Ovis aries: one gene and its partners. The protein of the gene in region 2 purifies or fractionates together with the protein of the main gene of each other region. This does not show direct contact. Links are inferred from orthologs where the notes say so. Each region holds a gene or a part of one and is shown on either strand. Other genes may lie near its edges. The genes, in order: BRD1, ING4, JADE3 and MEAF6.

Region 1 (5,835 bases), about 16 Mb from region 2:
CCGTGAGCACAGAGAGGAAGGCAGAGAGGGCAGTGACCCCTGGGCACCCGAGGCAGGGCTGCGGCCGAGCGAGCTCGGCCCCGGGCCTCGAGGAGACCAGACACACACACACGGCCCCGGTCCTCGAGGAGACCAGACACACACACACGGCCCCGCCTCAGACCCGAGTCTCTGACAACAGCCACGCTCCCGCCAAGGGCAGCGGGAACAAGGCCCCCCGTCAGAGGGGCCGTCAGGGCCGGGCAGACGGCACGTGGCGGGCCCGCACAGACCCTGCGCCCCCTTGCAGCGCTCACCTCTGCGGGGGGATGTAGGGCGCACACACGGGCGGCAGGGCCGTGCAGGGCTCCCGGGCCGTCTTCTTGGCCTTCTTGGCTTTCTTCCTGACCTTGGACGTGGACCTGACCGCTTTGACCGAGCTCTCCTTCCGACAGACACCGTTTTTCATCTCCACGTCCCCGTAAATGTTCAGAGGCCTGCGGGTGCAGCCGGGGGGCGTGTGGACGTCACAGTAAGCGGTCTTCCTGACGGAGAAGGTGGCGGCGCCACCGGCCAGCTCCTTCACGGGCTCCATCTTCATGTAGAGGCCGGCCCGCTGGGCGCACGTCACGTGGAAGGCAGTGTAGCAGTTGGCTTTGTGGCACTGGATGCAGGCGCCCACGCCCTTCTGCTTGCAGAGGTAGCAGGTCAGCTTCCAGCGCGCGGGGGGGATGTTCCGCACGCCGTCGATGGGCTCGATGAAGACAGTGTTGGCGAAGCCCACCTCGGGGATCCACAGGGCGCACACCACGTGGCCCCAGCGGTCGTCGTCCGTCTTCTTGAAGGCGCCGCCCTTGTTGGGGCAGAGTACGCAGTCGGCCGGCCGGGCGCGGGACTGCAGGCAGTGGCGGCAGAGCCACTGGCCCTCGGGGATGTAGGGCACGCCGTAGCACTCCTGGTGCACCGCCAGGTTGCACATGTCGCAGAAGAGGATCGCGTTGCTGTTCTGACACTCGCCGTCCATGCAGACGCAGCACACCGCGTCCTCGTCAATCAGGCACTGCTGCTCCCCCTGCTTCTGCTTCTCGCAGTGCGAGGCCTTCTCGAAGCGGTCCATGAGGAACTCGAACACGCTCTGCGACACGGCCGACACGCAGTCGCCCCTGCGCTTCTCGTTGACGATCTCCAGCCAGGCGTAGTCCTCCTCGTCCATGTCGTACTCCACCTCGTTGTCCAGCTCCTCAGCTGACTTCTCCACGAACTTGTAGTACACGGGGGGCCGCCGCGGCGCCGACGGGGGGCTGTACTCCACCACCCGCACCTTGGGCTCAGGGAGGGCGCTGGCGGAGGCGGGCGCGCCGTGGGCGCCGGGCGGGGCGTCGCCTTTCTTCTTGACCCGGTTGTTCTTGTGCCGCTTAGTTCTCAAGCACACGGGCGGCCGCTCACTGTTCTCCTTGTTGCTGTTGCACTCGCTCATTTCCTGGGCGGTGAGGTCATCTTCCAGGATGATCTCCAGGGGGTCGAAGATGCTGATCCTGTGCAGGCGCCCCTCGATCTCGATCTCCACCATCCTCTGGGCTTGAGCGTAGGTCAGGGTCTCTCGTGTGGGGGAGTGCTTGGTGCTGCCGGGGGAGGAAGGGTGCCTCGCTGCAGCGCGATGACCTCGGCCTTTCCTCCTCATTTGGCACTGACTCCCTGAAACAGACAGACAACACGTGAGCGCCATGCAGAAGACAGGAGAGGTGAAAACCACCCAGCACATGTGCGCAGAGCGAACCAACTGGCACTAAATCCAAACACAACTCCCAGGTAACCTGCCCGAGGCTCCCAAAATCACTCATCCTGGACTCATGCAGGCACCTCAACAACCGCCACCAGCCACTGCCACCAGGCCACTGCCCCCCAAGGGCTCCCAGGACCAGAGCAGAAGGCAGGCAGTCAGGAGGGCCCCCAGAGGCACACACGGGGACAAGTCCCTCCAGAATGCCGACGCCCACAGCTCACTGGTCGGCTTGGATCCACACCCCTCGCGAGTTCGGGTCACAGTCCCGAGCCCAAGACAGTACATGCACAGAGCTGCACTCCTGCAGGCTCTGGCCACTGCCTGACCCCCGCTGCTGCTCAGGAGAGAGCCCTCAGCCCGCCACTGTCGCCACGAACGCACCCTGCACAGCCATGCTGAGGCACAGGCCACCGCCCGCGCCAGGACCCATGAGGGCAGCCCCATACTGGCCTGGGCAGGCTTCACCCCAGGAGACCCCACCCAGCCCCTGCAGGGCCTCGGAAGTGGCCACCGCATTCCAGCCACCTGCCTGCCCCTCAGGGACCCTCTCGCTGCTGGCTTGACCACAGTGCTGGGCCATCATCCTGTCACAGTGAGGGCAACCCAGAGACCCCCTCGCCATCCACAGAGTGCTCCTCCTCTCTACCGGGTGCAGCACAGGCTCAAGCGCCTAAAGCCTTGGCCATGGAGACTTTCGAGCACTTGCTCTTGTCAGACATCCGCCATCAGCCACCAGCAAGTTCTACTTCCAGTCTCCCTCTCCTGACGATCCCGGACTCTGGTCCAGCACCCGCCAAGCAGGGTAACACCTTAGGAACTGATGACAGTGCCCTCTCCCCACTCCAAACCACCACTCGCCACTGACAGGAAGCAGAGTGATGCTGACGAGACTGGCTGACACTCGTGCCCGGTGGAGCCCAAGGCCCCCCGCCGGACAAGGCCCTGGGGAGTCGGCCAGGAAAAGGCGCCACACAGCGGCCTGCGCTGTCACACCTGAAAGGAAATCGCAGCCGACCTGAGATGCATTCCTTGAGACAGAGCCTTCCGACTGTGGTTTTCCTTCTCTTTTGTGAAACAGAAATGTTTCTGTGAAATCTGACAAGAATGCCCTACAAAGGGGAGCCTGAGAGCCCGTGGGCAAACCAACCCTAACCCACCTGCATCTCCACATCCCAGGGGCCCACAGCCCTGCACTCCTGGGGTGCAGTCAGCCAAGCTGCCCCCCAACTGGCCCTGGCCCTGCCAGCCCTTCCGGGGGAGAGGAGCAAGTCCCCCTGCTGTCCACACCCCAGCCTGCAGGAGGGCCCCCCGTGCAGCCTCAGGGGTCCTTTGGGGTGGGGCAGAAGCCACAGCTGGTTACTCAGCAGAGGAAAGGCAAACGTGTAATTTTCTCCTCCAGAGCACAGTACCAACAGCACTAACCATAACCGGCTCTTCAAAACCCACATGCTCCTGAAGTGACCGAGACTTTGTATCTGGCCACTTGCTACAAGAAGGACAGCACTTACTGGTCATGGCAGCTCTGCAATCTGAAAGCTCGATGGTGACAGGGACAAGAAGGCGCTGGTCACTCTGCAAACCACCTCACCAGGCCACCATTCCCCTACACCCCAGGCTCCAAACCTCCAACCTCCGTCCAGCTGGAGCTTCCGTGCAGGACAAAGGTTCCCACGTGGACGCCATTCACAGACCCTCCAGACCCTTCTGATAAATGCCCCCTGAAAAGCCCTGTGGCCACAAGAGAGGAACGCGGCACCCAAGACCGGTTCAGCTTCCAACACCGCCTTTCCCGCCTGGCCCTAGGAAAGCCACGAACACCCTCGCGCAGGGGCGGCATGCAGCGCCGCCCCCGCGACCCTTCTCGGGCGGTGGGCGGCTCCTCCGGCGGGGCCCGCCTGTAGCGCGTGCCCCGTAAATTACAACCAGGTCACTTCTTCCTGGGGGCCCGGAGGCCGCCCGCCGCGGGCGCGGGAGGGGGCGGCCGCGCGGGTCCGCGCGGCCCTGGAACAGGAAGTTTGCCGTCCGGGCTCAACAAGCCCAGCGCGTCCGTTACATAACGCGACCCTCGGGCAAACGCTCGGCCGGGGAAGCCGAGACCCCGGGCCGCCCCCACCTCGCCGGGCGGGAGGCGCGGCGGGCAGGGCGGCCTCGGCACCTCCACAGCCCGGCCTCCCTCCCCGTCCAGCCTCCCGCCCGCCGGCCTCGCCTCCCTCCCTGTCGAGCTCCCACGCCGCCCGGCCTCCCTCCCCGGCCCCCCGGCCTCCCGGCCAGGCCCTGCAGCCTCCCGACCGGACCCCCCGGGCCTCCCCGTCGGCCGGCCTCCCTCCCTGCCGGCCGCTCAGCCTCTCAACCCGGCCCGCCCTCCCTCCCTGGCCTTGCAGCCTCCAGACCGGCCCCCCAGGCCTCCCCGCCTCGCCAGGCCGACCTCCCCGCCGGCCCCCCGGCCTCTCAACCCGGCCGGCCTCCCTCCCCGTCCAGCCTCCCGCCCGCCGGCCTCGCCTCCCTCCCTGCCGAGCTCCCACGCCGCCCGGCCTCCCTCCCCGGCCGCCCGGCCTCCCTCCCCGGCCCCCCGGCTTCCCGTCCGGGCCTCCGGGCCGCCCTCCCTCCCCGCCTCTCCAGGCCGGCCTCCCGCCCGCCGGCCCCGGCCGCCCCGCCGCCGCCGCCGCCCCCGCCCCGCGGCCTCCCCCGGCCCCGCCGCCCGCGGACAATGCGTCGCCGCGGCGGCCCCAAACATGGCGGCGGCCCCAGCACCGAGAGGCCGGCGGCGGCGGCGGCCCGCGGGCGAGGCGGCGGCCCCGGCCCGCCCGGCGCACTCACCTTCGGGGCCGCGGCCGCGGGAGCCGGGCGGCGGGCGCGGGGGCCGGCGCGGCCGAGGCGGCGCTAATGGCGCCCGCGGCTCCTCCGCCAACGGCCGCGCAGGCCCGGCCCGCCGCCGCTCTGGGCGCGGGCTCCTGGCGGCGGCGGCCCGGCCCGGCTCGGCGCGGCGGCCGCGGGCTCGCGGGCGGCGGCTCGCGCGGGCGGCGGGGCCGAGCGGAGGCCCGGCGCGGGAGCCCGGCCGGCGGGCGGCGGGCGGCGGCGGCGGCGGGGCGGCGGGGCGCTGGCGCGGGGCTGCTCGGACGCCAGGGCCGGCTCGCTCGCCCGCTCGCTCCCCAGCGAAGCAAACAATGCGGCGAGCGCTCCGCCCGGCGCGCTGCGTGCGAGACGCGCCCCGCCCGCCGCCGCCATGACGCGCGGCCGCCGCCGGGGGAGGGGACGGAGGGCAGGGCCGCGCGCCGGCGCTGGGGCCGGGGCGCCCGAGGGGCGCGGGCTTCGGGAGGGGGGCGCCGGGCGGGCGACGGGGGCCGCACACGGGCTGTGGGGGGCATCTGAGGGGCGCGGGCTTCAGGAGGGGGGCGCCGGGCGGGCGACGGGGCACCGCACACGGGCCGGGGGCATCTGAGGGGCGCGGGCTTCAGGAGGGGGGCGCCGGGCGGGCGATGGGGCACCGGACACGGGCCGGGGGCATCTGAGGGGCGCGGGCTTCAGGAGGGGGGCCGCACACGGGCCGGGGGCATCTGAGGGGCGCGGGCTTCAGGAGGGGGGCGCCGGGCGGGCGATGGGGCACCGGACACGGGCCGGGGGCACCTGAGGGGGCGCCGGGTGGGCAATGGGGACCGCACACGAGCCAGGGGCACCTGAGGGGGCACCGCACACGGGCTGGGGGCATCTGAGGGGGCGCCGGGCGGGCGACGGGGCACGGCACACGGGCTGCGGGGGGCATCTGAGGGGCGCGGGCTTCAGGAGGGGGGCGCCGGGCGGGCGCCGGGGGCCGCACACGGGCCGGGGGCATCTGAGGGGGCGCCGGGCGGGCGACGGGGCACGGCACACGGGCTGCGGGGGGCATCTGAGGGGCGCGGGCTTCAGGAGGGGGGCGCCGGGCGGGCGACGGGGCACCGGACACCGGCCGGGGGCATCTGAGGGGCGCGGGCTTCAGGAGGGGGGCGCCGGGCGGGCGACGGGGCACCGGACACCGGCCGGGGGCATCTAAGGGGTGCGGGCTTCAGGAGAGGGGGGCGCTGGGCGGGCGAGGGAGT
Region 2 (4,168 bases):
CAGCACGGGCCAGAAAGTGCAGAGTAGGACTTGGGAATATTGCAGTGGAAGTGACTGGAGGTTTATAAACGGGAGAGTGACTTGATCCGATTTGCATTTAAAAAAAAAACATTCTGGCTACTGTTTGGAGAGCAGATTGGAAGTGTGTGTGTGATCAGTGGAGGGTACCAAGAGGGTATTTGTAAGTTGAGGGCAAAAAGATCTTTTTGTAAAAAAAAAAAAGTACTTATTTGGCTGTGCCAGGCCTTAGTTGCAGCATGTGGGATCTTTCATTGCAGCATGTGGGATCTAGTTCTCTGAGCAGGGATTGAACCCGAGCCCCCCTGCATTAGGAGCATGAAGTCTTAGCCACTGTACCACCAGGGAACTCCCAAGGGCATGGAGAGGGAAGGGCTGATTTGTAAAGTTACTGAAGAGGGGAGGGTGGGAAAGCTGTGCAGAGATGGGGAGCTCGCTGTGGAGACCGGTGGACATGGCTCCTCCTGAGAAAGCAATGATGAGTGCTGTCACAGATAGTCCAACGGTTTGAAGGAGGGATAACCAAGTGCTCTTTGGACCTATTTTTTAAAAGTAGCTAGTGTGTGTGTGTCTCTGTGTGTGTGTGTCTGTGTGTGTGTGTTAGTCGCCTGACTCTCTGCAGGGTTTATGCGTGTGTGTGTGTTAGTCACTCAGTCGTGTCTGACTCTTTACAACCCCATGGACTGTAGCCTGCCAGGCTCCTCTGTCCATGAAGTTCTCCAGGCAAGAATCCTGCCATTCTCTTCTACAGGGGATCTTCCCGACCCAGGAATTGAACCCGGGTATCCCACATTCCAGGGGATGTGGGATACCAGGGGTTGTGTCTCAGATTCTTTACCATCTGAGCCACCAGGGAAGCCCCCCAATGCAGCTATAGGGCTTAGGAAGTCCAGGGAGTCTTAGTTTCTCCTCTTCTCCCCAGGTATTGAAAACCTGCCCTTTGAACTGCAGAGAAACTTCCAGCTCATGAGGGACCTGGACCAAAGAACAGAGGGTATGTGCAGAGTAAGGAGCCCGGTGCCGAGTGAGTGTGTGTGATCGTCTCCCCTCCTGTTTGGTGTTACCAATATCACCTGGTCTGATCTAGATTGCTTTGTCTTCTCTTTCACTCTCTTGCAATTCTTAAAAGGAGAGTAATGATGACCTGTGTTTCTGTGTCAGCTTTTTCATAACTCGTGGAGTATTGTAACAATGCCACAAGAATTTAGAGATGCTGTGCTCTTTTATATCTCCCTCAGGAAAAGTGAGAAAACCAGTCAATCCTGGAATCATTTGTGTTCTCCATGTTCGATATGTTTGTAGGAAGACTAACTAGAATGCTTCTACTCCACTGGGCTGTTAACATTATTGTCACAAAATTCAGTGTGGCTTTAGACTACAGTTCACATTGGTACACAGCAGCTTTGCTGCATGAGGAGATGTTAGAAAGAAAGTGGAAAAAAGAAAAGGAAAAGCAGCAATTAACATCAGAATCTCTACACTATATTCTTCAACCTTACAGAAGCATTAGGTGCCATCTGTGGCCGTCCTTGGACATTGATTAAGTTTGGCTGCATTGAGACATTGACTTGGAGCCTGAGGCTACACTGCGGTGGGCGAGTTTGTCTCTCATAGTCGAAGGTCTCTGTTGGTGCTATCGACCATGCTTGCTGAAGGATATGTAGGTGTATCCTTATGTATCCCTGCCCAGGGGTGTTAGAATGCCTAAAGCTGTGATTTGAGTTACTCTGGGTCAGTTTGCTCATGGACAAATGAATATTATCTAAGATCCTGGACACAGGCCCCTGAGAACTCCCTGCTGAATGCCAGCCACCAGCTCCTTGCTTTGTAATATAGTTCTGGCTCTTGAGTTCATGCACAGAAAGACCCATTGGGAGATGACTGAACCACATACATGTTTTTCCAACTTCCTTCAAGGGCCTGGAATAAAGCAGAGCATAAACCTAGTATGCTCACACGTCCTCGCTGTGGTTACTTGTTGCTAAACCGTGTTGGGAGGCATGCTTTTGTCTCCGTGCACATTTTCTCTGAGTGCTGTAATATTAGGCAGTAGGCATCTATGGTCTCGGTGTTTGGGGGCATCACCAGCCTTCTCCTAGTAAAATGTTTGGAGCAATAGCTAAAATGAACACACAGGAGAAAAAAGTGATGGAGAATATTTGCAAGTTGCAAATGATGAACCAAACAGGGTGGACAGTAAGCAGAAGAACTGTTCCATTAGTGAACTCGGGCCTAATTTTCAATACTGAGATGTAGACGTACAGACCCTGGAAGTCAAGAGCAGCAGCAGATGACTCAGCCTGGTCTGCAGCTCTCAGAGCTATCGCAGAATGTTTCTGAGATGAGAAATCAGATGGCTTTTGAGACAGAAGCAGCAAGCTGTGCAAAGAAGCATCTTCAGACATTGACAGAAATGTTCTTCATATTAGTGCAGCATGCAGAGAATCCTTCCTTGTGTTTCCATAAGTCCAGTTTCAACTATGCTAGCAATGTCTCCAGCAACCAAAGGTGCCTTCACAGCACATGTTGTGGCCATGTTGCATCGCTTGAGTATGTGGCACAGTACCTAGGAATGTTGAGTGTGTTTTAATTCAGAGGTTGTGATGGTCAGTGCAAAAGGTCCAAGGAGCAAGAGGAGGAAGTGTGTTTAATCTTGCCACTCGGGGGCCATTATGACCAGCCCTGTCTCTGTTGTAGACCTGAAGGCTGAAATTGACAAGTTGGCCAGTGAATATATGAGTAGCGCCCGCAGCCGGAGCTCTGAGGAAAAATTGGCCCTTCTGAGACAGATCCAGGAAGCCTATGGCAAGTGCAAGGAGTTTGGTGATGACAAGGTGCAGCTTGCCATGCAGACCTATGAGATGGTATGGCCCTACCCATGGCTCCCCACTACCTCCCGTCTATTCCTCAGGGTCCTCCACCCCTCCTTTAGCGTGCTGGGATCTGTTTGGGGTCTGGGAGATGCATGGATTCTGCCTTAGCCTGTTTGCTTTTACTGGAACCAGCCTGGTAGCTCTTCCTTCTCCTTCCTTCCTTCCCACCCAGGTGGACAAACACATTCGGCGACTGGACACAGACCTGGCCCGCTTTGAGGCTGATCTGAAGGAGAAGCAGATTGAGTCAAGTGACTATGACAGCTCTTCCAGCAAAGGCAAAAAGAGTGAGGAGGGGGGTGGGCCATGAGAGTTGGAGCGAAGATTCCAAGAGGGCAGCCAGCCCATCCCTCAGCTCCAAGGGAGGACCCCTACGTTGGAGGAGAGGAGGGGTCCTTAACCCATCTTTCTGTCCCTCTGCCTTCTGGCTGCCCCTCCCCTCTTCCCTGGAAGGTCGGACTCAAAAGGAGAAGAAAGCTGCCCGTGCTCGTTCCAAAGGGAAAAACTCCGACGAAGAAGCCCCCAAGGCCGCCCAGAAGAAGTTAAAACTTGTGCGCACGTGAGTGAGTCAGGGAGCACCCTGCCAAGTGACAGGCTCCTCTTTGCCCCCGCCCCGCCCCTCGCCCCCTTCTCTATCACTCTGGTATCTGCTGGATACAGAGGGGAAGCCACAGACCACTAGCCTCACAGGGATCTCCTCGTGCCACTCTGAGCGTCAAGCTGTAGCGTCCCTTCCTGCAGGTGATACTCTCTCTCCCTCTTGGCACGCAGAAGCCCTGAGTATGGGATGCCCTCAGTGACCTTTGGCAGTGTCCACCCCTCTGATGTGTTGGATATGCCTGTGGATCCCAACGAACCCACCTATTGCCTTTGTCACCAGGTCTCCTACGGGGAGATGATTGGCTGTGACAACCCTGACGTAAGAACCGGTTTGCCTCAGGGCGGGGGGCTCTGGGGGACAGGAAGGGAGTTGGGTACCAGAAGAGGGTAAGGGCTGAAGAGTGGGACCTCAGGACAGGAGGAAGGGAGTTGGAGGTGGTTGGCCTTGGACCCTTCAAGAATCCTCCCGCCGGATGGAGTAAGGGAATGCTCCTGAGGACTCCGGGTGGGGGGGTTCTCTGCTTTCCTCGGCCCCAGCCTGCCCCCTGCCCTCTGCTCCTCCACCGTCTTCCTTTTCCAGTGCTCCATTGAGTGGTTCCACTTTGCCTGCGTGGGGCTGACCACCAAGCCTCGGGGGAAATGGTGAGTGGGCGCTGTGGTCGGAGCTGGACTGCCCT
Region 3 (6,069 bases), on a different chromosome or scaffold from region 2:
ATCTGATGGTAAGAGCTTTGCTGCTATTGTCTATGGAGAGACTTACAGAGAGTAAGAAAAAATAACCCTGGGGGAATCACGAAGATTCCAGAAAACAGAAAACTCAAAGCAGTAGTTACTTGGTCTGTAACGACCACTTGCTAGCACCCTTTTATTCATTCATCACTTCTACCTACTCATCCTAGACCTTCCCCACTCCTCAAAACAGAATGCTTCAGCTTTCCTAGCCACTGTAAGTAGGACAACAGATAGAAACTTGAAATCATTCAAGTGTCCCCCTATTAGCCATTTCTGAAGAGTGCCACATGGGTGTCACCCAACACTCAACTCTCACCTATAAGGTGAGACAAATGAAGATCATAGTAAGTTATCCTTGGATGAGGTTTTCTTAATGTAAACCAGCATATGATCTCTACCTTCCTCAGCTCCTGTTTTGTGTAAGCTCTATGAGGAGATAGATGCATTATGTCCTACACAATGTTCAACCTCTGTATCCCTGATCAAGGCTTATTAGAGCCCTCTGTAATGCCACGTCTTCAAAAGCACTCAATGCCTTCTGCCTCGTGCCTCCCCCCCAAATACTTGCTTAGTTCCAGCCATACCTCAAAGTATGTATAAAGAAGAAATGGCTTTGTGTAGCTTAGGGGAGAAATGGGTTGTTAGAGTTGGTGGAACACAAAGGAGAAAAAAGACAAGCATTACCAAAGAAATTCATATTCAACCTACAGCCTTCAACATCCTTTGTTCTTAAATATTTTAACTTTCTCTAACCCATACAACTCAACTATGAGAGCCATGAACCATCATCTGTCCTGCTCCTGGGAACCTTCTCTACAGGCCAGAAGGTGGGTCACAGGTGCCCCTCAGGCTGCTTCCAAGTCACTCCTGGTGGCCAACTGATCACAAACACTTCAGGAAGGACTGAGAGGCCCTTCTTCACTCTCCCCTACCTGTGACCAAGATTCACCAACTCACAGCAACACGACTCAGAAAAGTGGGAGAATGAAAGTGTAGGTTCTAGAACCAGACAAGGACCCCTGAATATTTCAGAAATGACTGGACGAAGAATGCAAGAAACTCTGTCAAGGCACCAAGACTAGGTTACAAGCACTTCTCAAGCAAACAAAACTGTAGAGAAGAGCACAGTTGAAGGAAAGGTGTCAGTGATGGCAGCTAACACTGAGAAGATCTCATGTAATTCTTTCACCCTTGGAGAGAGTTTTTACCCTCTTATAGTTCAAGTATTTAAATTCAGAGCTCCCTTTAGATGAAAAAGAAAATGACACGTTATAAAGGTAGATAGAATGCCTGCCTGCTAAGTCAAGTCGGACTCTTTGCGATCCTATGGACTTACAGCCCGCCAGGCTCTTCTGGTCCATGGGATTCTCCAGGCAAGAATACTGGAGTGGGTTGCCATGCCCTCCTCCAGGGGATCTTCCCAACCCAGGGATCAAACCCAAGTCTCCTGCGTTAGCAGGTGGGATCCTTACTCCTAGGCTATAAACAGAAGAGAGGGGGAAAAACTACATCTATTTCACTTACCCACATGATGCTATAAAAGCATGAGAACTACACTATTTAAAGGGTACAGAGGCCTAGGATCCACATTCCCATTGTTTACAGATGTTATGAAAGTATTAAATAAAAATAGAATGCTTTGTTCAGGCCGACTCCTTTCTCACCGCCACCCCCACCCCCCGCCACCTCACCCCCCAGGCTGACAAGAAATGGCTGCAGGGAAGGTATTTAAGAGAACTACTCTGGGAAAGTGGATTCTGGGTTGCTTAAACTAAGCCAAGATGTTGTGCAACCAGTCTTTACCTAAATTATTTTCCATTACTTTGCCAGTTTAGAGAGAAGCAGACAGTTATCTTTATCAGAGAATGAGGTCGCCTTTCCCTCCAGGCCACTGGAATCACCATCAACACGGTTTTGATTTCTTACACAATCAGGCGCGCGGGGGGTGGGGGGGGGCCCGAGGAGGCCCGCGGGGTAGGGGGGCGGACACGGGGATCTCAACCTCAGCTTTACAGATCAACGGATCTCACATCCAAAACAACCCCATGAACATCTGAGAGCATGGATTTCCTTGCATCTCAGAAAGTCAGAGAAGCGGCCAAACAAGTTTCTTGCCAAATGCTTAGGAGCTGCATATGTCCCAGGGCTACACAATGATACCAACTTCTAAACATGCCTTCACATACCACCATTATGGTCCCACACTCGAGGTCCCTCCCCCCGCTTTCCCCCCTCACAAATAATAAACGCAGGTTGGTTACCGCGTGCAATTTAAAGTCGGACTTCACCGAAGCAGTAGCTCGAGAAAAGCGAGAGGAAAAGATTGGAGGCAGACTTTTTTTTTTTTTTTCTTTAATCGATATCACCATGGCGTGGGGAATAAAACCAACTCAATTGCTGAGAAAAGTTAAGTTTTCCGTGCCCAGCTGTGGGAAAAATTTTCCCGTAAGATTCGGAAAGCCCTCCCGTTTTTCCCACCCCCGCCCCCCCGGACCGCCCGGCACTCTCCGGTCGCGGCGGCCCGGACCGGCAGCTCTGGAACAATAACGCGAGGGGGAGGGAAAGTTCGTCAGCCCGCGGGACGCCGGGGCTCACTAACGGCGGGACCACGCCGCCGCCCGCACCGCCCGGCCCCCAGTCTCTGGGACTCGGTTCTTCCCGCCCCTCAACAGCGAAACAGTCGGGGTGCGCCCCCGCTCCCTGGAGCATCCGGCCCCAGGAGGCCCGCAGAGCGCGTCCTCACGCCGCGGGTCGGACCCCGGGAGCCCCGAGAGCAGGCAGTGAACCGGGAGGGAGGGGGCGCCAGGAGGGGGCACCGGAGGAAACGGCCGCAACAGTTATGGCGCTCAATTTCTGCCCGAGTGTAGCCGCAGCCGAACCCGGCCGGCCGCCCCCACCACCCACGCCCCCGGGCCGGCCACCCAGCGCTGCCCGGAGCCGGCGGAGGAGCCACCGGGCACTTTACCTCAGCCCACACACGCTCTCGGCTCCAAGGCTCTGGGGACGCCGGAGGCCACCGCCGTGTGGAGCCGGACCGACCCGGAGCGCGGCGAGGTTGTTCTGGGACGTTGCGCTCCGTGGCGCCCGTTTCCACTCCCTGAGGCCGCCACTCCCGCTACCCACCCGACGCGACGCCCCCCAAACCCGCTCGCCCCGCGTCCAGCGTCAGCGGCGCCTACCTTGGCGCGGCGCGACCGCTGCTCCTTCCCGGCTCCACACTAGGGCCCGGCAACGTGCCGGGCGAGTCTGGTAGAGGTGGTAACCGCCCCCTGAACCGCTCGCTTTCTTCTCTCCCCTCCCTCGCACCTGCCCCCTAATCTCCTCCCTTACCCCCCGCCCTCCGCCCCGCCGCCGGATCCGCCGGGGCCGGCCCCCGCGCCTCAGCTCCCGCCCTCGGCCCTCGCCCGCCCGCCCGGCCCGTCAGGCCTCAGCGCTGGGCAGGCGGTTGGGCGGCGGCGGCAGCGAAGGAGGCGGCGGCGGCAGCGGCTGAAGCGGCGCGGAACACTATTGTATTCCTGACACTGTGCGCTCCCACGCTCCGCCTCTTCCCCTTCCTTCCTTCTCCACCGTCTCCCCAACCTCCGCGTTCCACTCCAACCGCCCCCCCACCCGCAGCCAACCGCCGGCCGCGCTCGCCCTACCCGTCTCTGGCTCCCTGCTGTCCGACCGCTCTGACCGCCGCGCGCTCTTCTGGCGGGCCGGGCGCAGTTTGCCACCGCCGCGCGCCTTGAGGCCCCGCCCACTTAGTGCTCCCGCACGCGCCGCGCGGGGCTCCAGGTGGGTTCCTCTCAGCTCCTGCTGGGTGCGCTGCAGCCTGGAGGCGCCTCACCACCTCTGAGGGCTGGAGGCGCCTCACCACCTCTGAGGGCTGGAGACGCCGACGATGGGGAGGTGCCTGGGTTGTGTTGAAATGCTACCTAAGCTTTTCATGGCCCCTTTCAACTCTGAAGTTCTATAAGTGGACCCTCCTGTATGCAACTTGTTGTCGGTCACTATTGATTTAAGCCGTTTGCGCTTGAATTACACCTATAATAATATTCAAGCCGAAGTGTCTATTCACAGAATAAATTTATTCAGTTGCAGGCACAAGTGGTTTATGAGGTGTGGCTTTTTGATGAGTCAACTTGGTTAGGGTACAGCCCCCAGTTATTCAGTCAAACACTAACCGAGGTGTTGCTGTGAAGGTATTTTCGTGTAATTAAAGCTCCTGATCAGTTGACATAAAGTGAGGGAGATTATTCTGGATAATCTGGATGGGTCTGGTCATTCCTTTCTGATTGTGTGCCCTATAGATTTTGGATTTGCCTTGCCTGCCCCACATTTGTAAGCCAATGTCTTCTAATCAATGAATGAATAAGTGTGACTGTGTGTGCGTCTTTGTGTGTCTGTCTCTGGATGAAAACTGACTCATACAGATGTTTAAGCAGCAAACTCTTTACCATGAACTCATAATTGTCATTTTCATTCACATTTCTAGGCTAAACAAAAATGTGGGCTCTTTTTGTATTTTGTCTGTTTTCAGTATTAAAGATGTAGTTCTATTTCATAATGTGCAAATATGTGAATTCTAAAATATTCGTGGCCCTTCAGACTTACCTCATTTATTTATTATCCTCCTTTTATTTACCTCAGTATTGCTGGACTGTGCTGTGCTTAGTCGCTCAGTCGTGTCCGACTTTTTGTGACCCCATGGACTGTAGCCCACCAAGCTCCTCTGTCCATGGGGATTCTCCAGGCAAGAATACTGGAGTGGTTTGCCATGCCCTCCTCCTGGGATCTTCCCAACTCAAGAAAGGAACCCAGGTCTCCTGCATTGTTGGCAGATTCTTTACCAGCTGAACTACCAGGGAAGCCTTACCTCAATATTATACTTATTTTGAAATAATTATAGATTCACAGGATCTGTAAAAAAAAAAAAAAAAGTATTACAAAACAGTTTCAAGTACTCTTCACCCAATTTTCCCCAATGGTAATATCTTACATAACCAAGATATTGACATTGGTACAAGCCACAGTCCTTACTTAGATTTCGCCAGTTTTAAATGCACTCATTTCTGTGTCTGTATGTATAGAACTGTGCAATTTTATCACATGTGAATGGAATCATACCTTTTGAAACTGGCTTTTCTTCATTTCAGCATCATTTCCTTGTGAATCATCCAAGTAGTTGCACATATCAATAGATCATTCTTTTTTATTGCTGAGTGGTAGTATTGCTATGGATGTACTACAGTTTAACTATTCACCTGGATGCGTATTAGGGTTGTTTTCAATTTTTGTGTATAAGAATAAAATTTCGATGAATATTCATGCAGAGTTTCTTGTGTAAACATTAACTTCTCTGTGGCAAATACCCAGGAGTGCAATTACTGGGTTGGATGGTATGAGTATGTTTAGTGTTATAAGAAACTGCCAAAAATTTCCAGACTGTCTATACCATTTTACATTCCCACCAGCAATGTAGAGATCCAGTTTCTCTATATCTTTGCCTGCATTTGGTATAGTGACTATGTTTTTATTTTTATCATTCTAATAGATGTGTTGTGATACCTCTTTGTTTTAAATTGCATTTCCCCAATAGTTGATGTTGTTAAACATCTTTTTATATGCTTATCTGCCATTTGTATATCCTCTTTAGTGAAATGTCTGCTCATGTATTTTGCCCACAACAGTAAATTTTTTTGTGTGTGGCTCTGCTGGGTCTTTGTTGCTATGCAGTCTTTTCTCTAGTTGTGGCAAGCAGGGGCTTCTCATTGCGGTGACTTCCCTTGTTGTGGAGCACGGGCTCCAGGGCATGCAGACTTCAGGAGTTGTGGCACGTGAGCTCAGTAGTTGTGGCTCCTAGGCTCTAGAGCACAGGCTCAATAGTTGTGGCACAGGGGCTTAGTTGCTCCCTGGTATGTGGGATCTTCCTGGACTAGGGATCGAACCTGTGTTTCCTGCATTGGCAAGCGAATTCCTCACTACTGAGCCATCAGGGAAGCCCTGCCCATTACATTTTGAGAATTCCTTATATATTCTAGATACAAGTTTTCTGTCAGATAAGTGATC
Region 4 (5,944 bases), on a different chromosome or scaffold from region 2:
CCAATCTGTCGTTTTGAGCTTTCTGATAACAGAAAGGCAAACAAGGACTTCCCTGGTGATCCAGTGGTTAAAACTGCATGCTTTCACTGCAGGAGCACAGGTTCGATCCCTGGTCAGGGAACTAAGATCCGACATGGCATGGGCAGTCAAAAAAAGAGAAAACAACTGGGAGGTAAACAAGAGGTACATAATCAGTAATGCAACATTTTTGCCAAAAGTATTTAAAGGATCCCTCATGAAGTCACAACAAGAAAAACCTACAATTTGTACATTCTACAAGATAATGTCATAAACAAGCTCACCACTGAAAATGTTGCTGCTGCTGCTAAGTCGCTTCAGTCGTGTCCGACTCTGCGACCCCATAGACGGCAGCCCACCAGGCTTCCCCGTCCCTGGGATTCACCAGGCAAGAACACTGGAGTGGGTTGCCATTTCCTTCTCCAATGCATGAAAGTGAAAAGTGAAAGTGGAGTCGCTCAGTCGTGTCCGACTCTTAGTGATCCCACTGACTGCAGCCCACCAGGCTCCTCCATCCATGGGACTTTCCAGGCATGAGGACTGGAGTGGGGTGCCATTGCCTTCTCCATGAAAAGGTTGGGAAGATCCTAAATTAAGAGACTAAAGACACATAACAGCCAAATGCAATGCACAAACACTACCTGGTTGAAAATGAGCTAGCAATGCATTTTGGGGGCCATTAGGGGAAATATGAATAAAGACTGTATATTAGATAATACTATTAATGTAGTGCTAATTTTCTAGGCATAATTGTGGTTACGTTAAGAAAGATGCTCTTATTCTTAGGAGGTATCTGCTAACACAATTAGGGACGAAGTGTCCAAGATCTGCTTTTAACTTTTGAATGGTTTAGCAGAAAGTATAATACACATATATGGAAGAAAGGAGAGATACAACTACAGAGGGGTGGCAGGAGGCAGATCTTTGTGGTGACAGAACAGTTCTATATCTTGACTGCGGTGGTGGTTACAGGAAGCTACCCACTTGATAAAATGATAGAACTAAACTTACACATTGTACCAAGGTCAGGTTCCTCCTTTTACCATTGTACTAAATGGTTACATAAAACCCAACCACTGCGGAAGACTGAGTGAAGGATATATGGAACCTCTCTGTATTGTTTTTTGCCTATGTATCTATAATTATTTAAAAAAATTTTTTTTTTTAATTTTAAGTATAGATATGGGGATGTATGGGTTTCCCTGTTGGCTCAGATAGTAAAGCATCTGCCTGCAATGCAGGAGACCAAGGTTCGATCCCGGGGTCAGGAAGATCCCCTGGAGAAGGTAATGACTACCTACTCTAGTATTCTTGCCTGGAAAATCCCATGGACAGAGGAGCCTGGCAGGCTACAGTCCGTGGGGTCAAAAAGAGTTGGATACCACTGAGTGACTAAGCAGGCATGCCCGCATAGAGTGTGTGCTTGTAAATTACAGAAAGGGAAGAGAGAGAAATCAAACGTGACAGCAAGCTAACTGGTGATCGGTGAAGGAGATCAAGAGATCATGAACTATTCTTTCAATTTTTCTCTAGATTCGAAAATTTTCAAAAAAAAATTAGAACATTTTTAAGAATAATATTACTAAATAAACCATGGCACAGTTGGCATATAGGTAGGGCAAATCCTGTGAGGGTGGAACTCTTGACTGATTAAAATGTACAAAATAGCAAGAGGCATGCTGGTATATAAAGTATTATATGCTGTATTCCATTTAAGCCTCACACAACCCTGTGCCATTGGCCAGACTTCCCCTACTGTGTAGGATTTGTCCAGGGTTACTCAGTGAGGCAGGGGTTGAACCAGAGACCAAGCTCGAATGCAGACCTCTGTCCACCCCACCTTACTACTGCTTCCCTCCAAAGCTACCGCCAAGGACATACATAGTCCTGATCACAAATACAGTTGTTGCTGTTTAGTCGCAAGTCGTGTCAGATGCTTTGAGACCCCATGGACTGCAGCACACCAGGCTCCTCTGTCAGTGGGATTTTCCAGACAAGAATACTAGAGTGGGTTGGCACTTCCTTCTCCAGGGAATCCTCCTGACCCAGGGAAGGAACCCACACTTCCTGCACTGGCAGGCGGGTTCTTGACCATTGAGCCGCCAGGGAAGCACCAAATGCAAACATTAGTAGGGCACAAAGCAACACTACAGGCTTCTGTCACTCACTTTTGGTTGGTCAGATACCGATCCCAGCCACGAATAATGTTGCCGTACATCTGCGTGTCTTCCAGGTAGCTTCCTTCAAAAGCATAGATCTGTCTCTCCAAGTTTGCCAGTGTTTCCTGAGGTGAAAGACAAGGAAACAGTTGATGCCTTTTACATGCAAGCATTAAGTCGGACCAAACTGACATCCTGGTATCAGGCTTAGAAATTCAAGTTCAACGACACCGAGTCAGCCTTGTGGAGAGAGGGATGACATGGGTAGGGGCAGGCTGTTTCAGACAAGACAGTCTAGACCTGTCTTGCTGGGTGCCTTTAAGAATAAAATGAAATAGATTCTGTCCCTAGAAAAATGTACACCCAGGCAAAAGTCTGTATATACTCAGAGGCTTCGTGGAAACCCAGCTGTCAAGAAACCGCGGAGGAAGAAGGTGAGCAGTCTCCACTCCCACGCATAAAAGACACCGCTACCGGAGAGGGAAGGGTGAGCAGCCTTCCAGCGCCAACTCGCTCGCCTCCCTGCAAGCTCCGAAAGGCCGCCTGCACCGGGCGGCCGGTTGCTATGGAAACCTGGAAGGGCAGCTTCAGGTAAGATGCGCCTCCCGGTGCTCCAGCCAAAAACGCAAGGGGAGGGACGGCTTAGCCACCAGGGAGCAAGGGGCCCCAGGCGCGTGTCACAATTTCTAATTCCCTAGGCTGAGTCCGCTCCCCCTCACCTGTCATCTTCTAAGAAGTCCCCGAACACATCCCACGCCTGCCCATCAAAAGCCCCATCCAACGGATCTAATCCTATTCCCCGCAAAGACATTAACGCCCCTCCATCCTCCAAAGGTCAGAATGGATGTGTGGGTCTCCCCTCCCACATCCGTCTCCTACCCCACCTCCCCAGAGCCCACAGCCAAGCCGGAGCCGATCTCCTCCACCCTGCCGGCACGCTTGCCGCCCAATCGCTCCAAGAGCCCAGGGCCGCCCGCCCTCATCCAGCCCGCGGGGCTCGCGGACCCTCGCCGCCGCAGGCTCCCACACGGAAGCCCCCACCCGCGGGCGCCAACCTCCCTCCACGCCTCCGCCGGCCTAGCCTCCCTCCCCCTCCCCCGCTCCGCGCCCCGCCCCCGGCTCCCGGCGCCAGATCCGCCCGGCCGGGAAGCCGAGGCGCCGGCGGGCCGCGCAATGCGCAGCCGTCCTCAGGCCGGCGGACTCCCAGCCGCCGCGCTGCGCCCGGGGAGTAACGAACGGCCCGGAGCGGCCGGGCCCGGGCCCGGAGACGGGGGCAAGCGCGGGGGTTTCACCCGGGCACCCCCGGTGCCGGCCCTCACCGCCAGCTCCTGCTTCCGCTTCACGAGCTCCGCCAGCTCCCGCCGGGTGTCGGGGATTTGTGGCGGCGCCGCCTTGTTGTGCATCGCCATGTTGGGCTGAGGCGGGCGGCGGCGGCGGCAGCGCTAGGCTGGGGGCGGTCCCTTCGCGCCACCGCCCGCCAGGGGGCGCCCGCCGCCACACTGCGCCTGCGCGCGCGGCTTCCGGAGGCGCGCTGGGCGCCCCCCAGAGCTCCCGCCGGTGGGCTCGCAGGACCCCAAGGGTGCCCTCTGCCCTAGGTCCCGGCCGCATTTCTGCACTGCAGACTCACCGTGTCCAAAATAAGACTTCTCGGAAGTCTCATCAGTGAATGACTTTTAGTGTCCGCGGAATTACTCGAGTCAGAAACCTTTGTACCGGCCTCACCCTTCTTCACCCCCTTAATCCGATCCAAAACCAAGTCCTCTGGACTTGACTCGAGCAGAGCTCGTAAATCTGTTTCCTTTTGTCTGCCACCTCCCTCATTCATCCAGGCTCTCGTTTTTGGAGACATTCCAACAGCCTCCTGTTTCTATCCTTAGCTCGATTTAATCCATTATCCAAAGTGGTGCCAGGATGATTTGTTTTTAGAAAACAAATGTGTCACCTTCTAGGTAAAAACCTTTCAGTGGCTCCCTATTGCCCTTTAGAGAGACAAGTATGTGCGGTGGTTAAGGGCACAGACGAGCTGGAACAGACACCTGGCTGGTGGCAGAAATGGAGGAGGAGGAACAAAGCTGAGGTCTGGGAGATGATGATTCTGTGAGTTTTCAGACACAGAAAACAAATTTACCATTACCAAAGGGGAAAGAGGGCAAGGAATAAATTAGGAGTCTAGGATTAATATGCAGGCACTACTACATATAATATAAATAACCAACAAGGACCTACTCTATAGCACAGGAAACTATACTCATTGTATTGTAATAACTTATAAAGGAAAATAATCTGAAAAGATTCCATATATGTGAATCGCTTTTCTGTACACTTGAAATTAATACAACATTGTGAATCAACAATACTTCAATAAAAAACTAAAATTTAAAAAACGCTACCTCTACCATTGATGAGGCTGGGCCACCTTGAGCAGGTAGCTAAATTTCACTTGTCTCAATTTCCTCATCTGTATAATGGAGGTAATAATAGTGCATACTTAACACAATTGCTGTAAGTCTAATGTTGTTATGGAAAGCTTGGCCTCTCCATACACTAATGCCAAATCAAATCTTGGAGACAAAGTTTTGAGTGAAGTAGAAAAGGAAGGCTCTATCACTTTGCCAGGCAAAGGAAGACAAACTGGGCTTCTGTCTCGAAAAACTATGTGTTCCACCCTGGGAGGATGTGATGAAGGGTTTTATAACAATAATTCAAAACTACCCTCTAATGGTGGTGCTAAGGCTTCTCCTTGCGGTGGCTCCACTTGCTACGGAGCACAGGCTCTAGAGAGTTCAAGTTCCAGTAGTTACCGCACGTGGGCTCAGCAGCCGTGGCTCCCGGGCTCCAGGACACAGGCTCAGCAGAACCCGGGCTTAGCTGTCCTGCAGCATGTGAAATCTCCGTGGACTAGGGATCGAACCCATATCTCCTGCATGTTAAGCAGTTTGAGCATAGGTTGGTAAAGAATTTCCAGACACACAGCATTCCAGCAGGGAGCGAGTATAAGAATGAAGAGCAGAGATAAAGTAGGCACCGAGAGCACAGTGGGCCAACCTCCTAAGAGACCAGGGAGAGTTGACGGCTTTTGTGGGTTAATAGCCAATTTTTATAGCCTCAAGCCAAAGAAAATGCCTGCTGCAAGGTTGGTGTTAGGTGATTGGTTGGGGTGCTATAAGGTGTTTGCTGAAGTGGGCATCTTTGCCTGACTGGGGGTCAGGAAGTCAGGGAGTCTTCTGAAAACAAAAGGGGCTCAGTTACAAAGGGGCTCAGTCAGCTTCAGAGGTGACCTTGGTTCTGGGCTCCGCTTCTGTGGCCTTGGGGGCAGGACTCAACACTGCATTGGTAGGCAGGTTCTTTATCATCGAGCCACCAGGGAAGCCTCTATTCATGTTTGATTGCACTGGGTCTTTTGCTGCTGCAGAGGGCTTTCTCTAGTTGCAGTGAGTGGGAGCGACTCTTCCTTGCAGTACACAGACTTCTCACTGCAGTGGCTTCTCTTTGTTGCTGAGCACGGGCTTCATAGTTTGGGCTCACAGGCTCTAAAGCACAGGCTCAGTACTTGTGGCACACGGGCTTAGTTGCTCTGCAGCAATGTTCAAATCCTCCATTGGGACTTTTTAAAATAGACAGTCATTTCATCTGCAAACAGGGAAGTTTGTTTTCTTTTTTCCCTTTCCAATCTATGTGCTGTCTATTTCCTTTTCTTGTCTTACTGCGTTGGCTAGACTTCCAGTACTCTGTTGACTAAGAATGGCCAGAGTGGATATCCTTGACTT

What was found.
Region 1: the proteins of ING4 (region 2) and BRD1 purify together in Homo sapiens (affinity purification with mass spectrometry; 5 studies listed by BioGRID and IntAct, with this or other methods). This does not show direct contact. The link is inferred for Ovis aries from reciprocal best matches to the Homo sapiens genes ING4 and BRD1.
Region 3: the proteins of ING4 (region 2) and JADE3 purify together in Homo sapiens (affinity purification with mass spectrometry; 3 studies listed by BioGRID and IntAct, with this or other methods). This does not show direct contact. The link is inferred for Ovis aries from reciprocal best matches to the Homo sapiens genes ING4 and JADE3.
Region 4: the proteins of ING4 (region 2) and MEAF6 purify together in Homo sapiens (affinity purification with mass spectrometry; 5 studies listed by BioGRID and IntAct, counting the BioPlex papers as one, with this or other methods). This does not show direct contact. The link is inferred for Ovis aries from reciprocal best matches to the Homo sapiens genes ING4 and MEAF6.

The regions. Positions count from the first base shown.
Region 1 is NC_056056.1:225,164,800-225,170,634, forward strand, and holds the start of BRD1 (bromodomain-containing protein 1), read right to left. Parts: upstream 3,968-5,835; 5' UTR 3,278-3,967; coding exon of another isoform or gene 3,271-3,277; 5' UTR 1,742-3,270; coding exon 297-1,741; intron 1-296. UniProt on the Homo sapiens protein: Scaffold subunit of various histone acetyltransferase (HAT) complexes, such as the MOZ/MORF and HBO1 complexes, that acts as a regulator of hematopoiesis.
Region 2 is NC_056056.1:209,613,298-209,617,465, forward strand, and holds part of ING4 (inhibitor of growth protein 4), read left to right. Parts: intron 1-940; coding exon 941-1,012; intron 1,013-2,715; coding exon 2,716-2,882; intron 2,883-3,063; coding exon 3,064-3,178; intron 3,179-3,344; coding exon 3,345-3,450; intron 3,451-3,662; coding exon 3,663-3,810; intron 3,811-4,071; coding exon 4,072-4,133; intron 4,134-4,168.
Region 3 is NC_056080.1:57,874,177-57,880,245, forward strand, and holds the start of JADE3 (protein Jade-3), read right to left. Parts: upstream 3,711-6,069; 5' UTR 3,660-3,710; intron 3,276-3,659; exon of another isoform or gene 3,198-3,275; intron 1-3,197. UniProt on the Homo sapiens protein: Scaffold subunit of some HBO1 complexes, which have a histone H4 acetyltransferase activity.
Region 4 is NC_056054.1:12,341,028-12,346,971, forward strand, and holds the start of MEAF6 (chromatin modification-related protein MEAF6), read right to left. Parts: upstream 3,595-5,944; 5' UTR 3,587-3,594; coding exon 3,497-3,586; intron 2,303-3,496; coding exon 2,187-2,302; intron 1-2,186.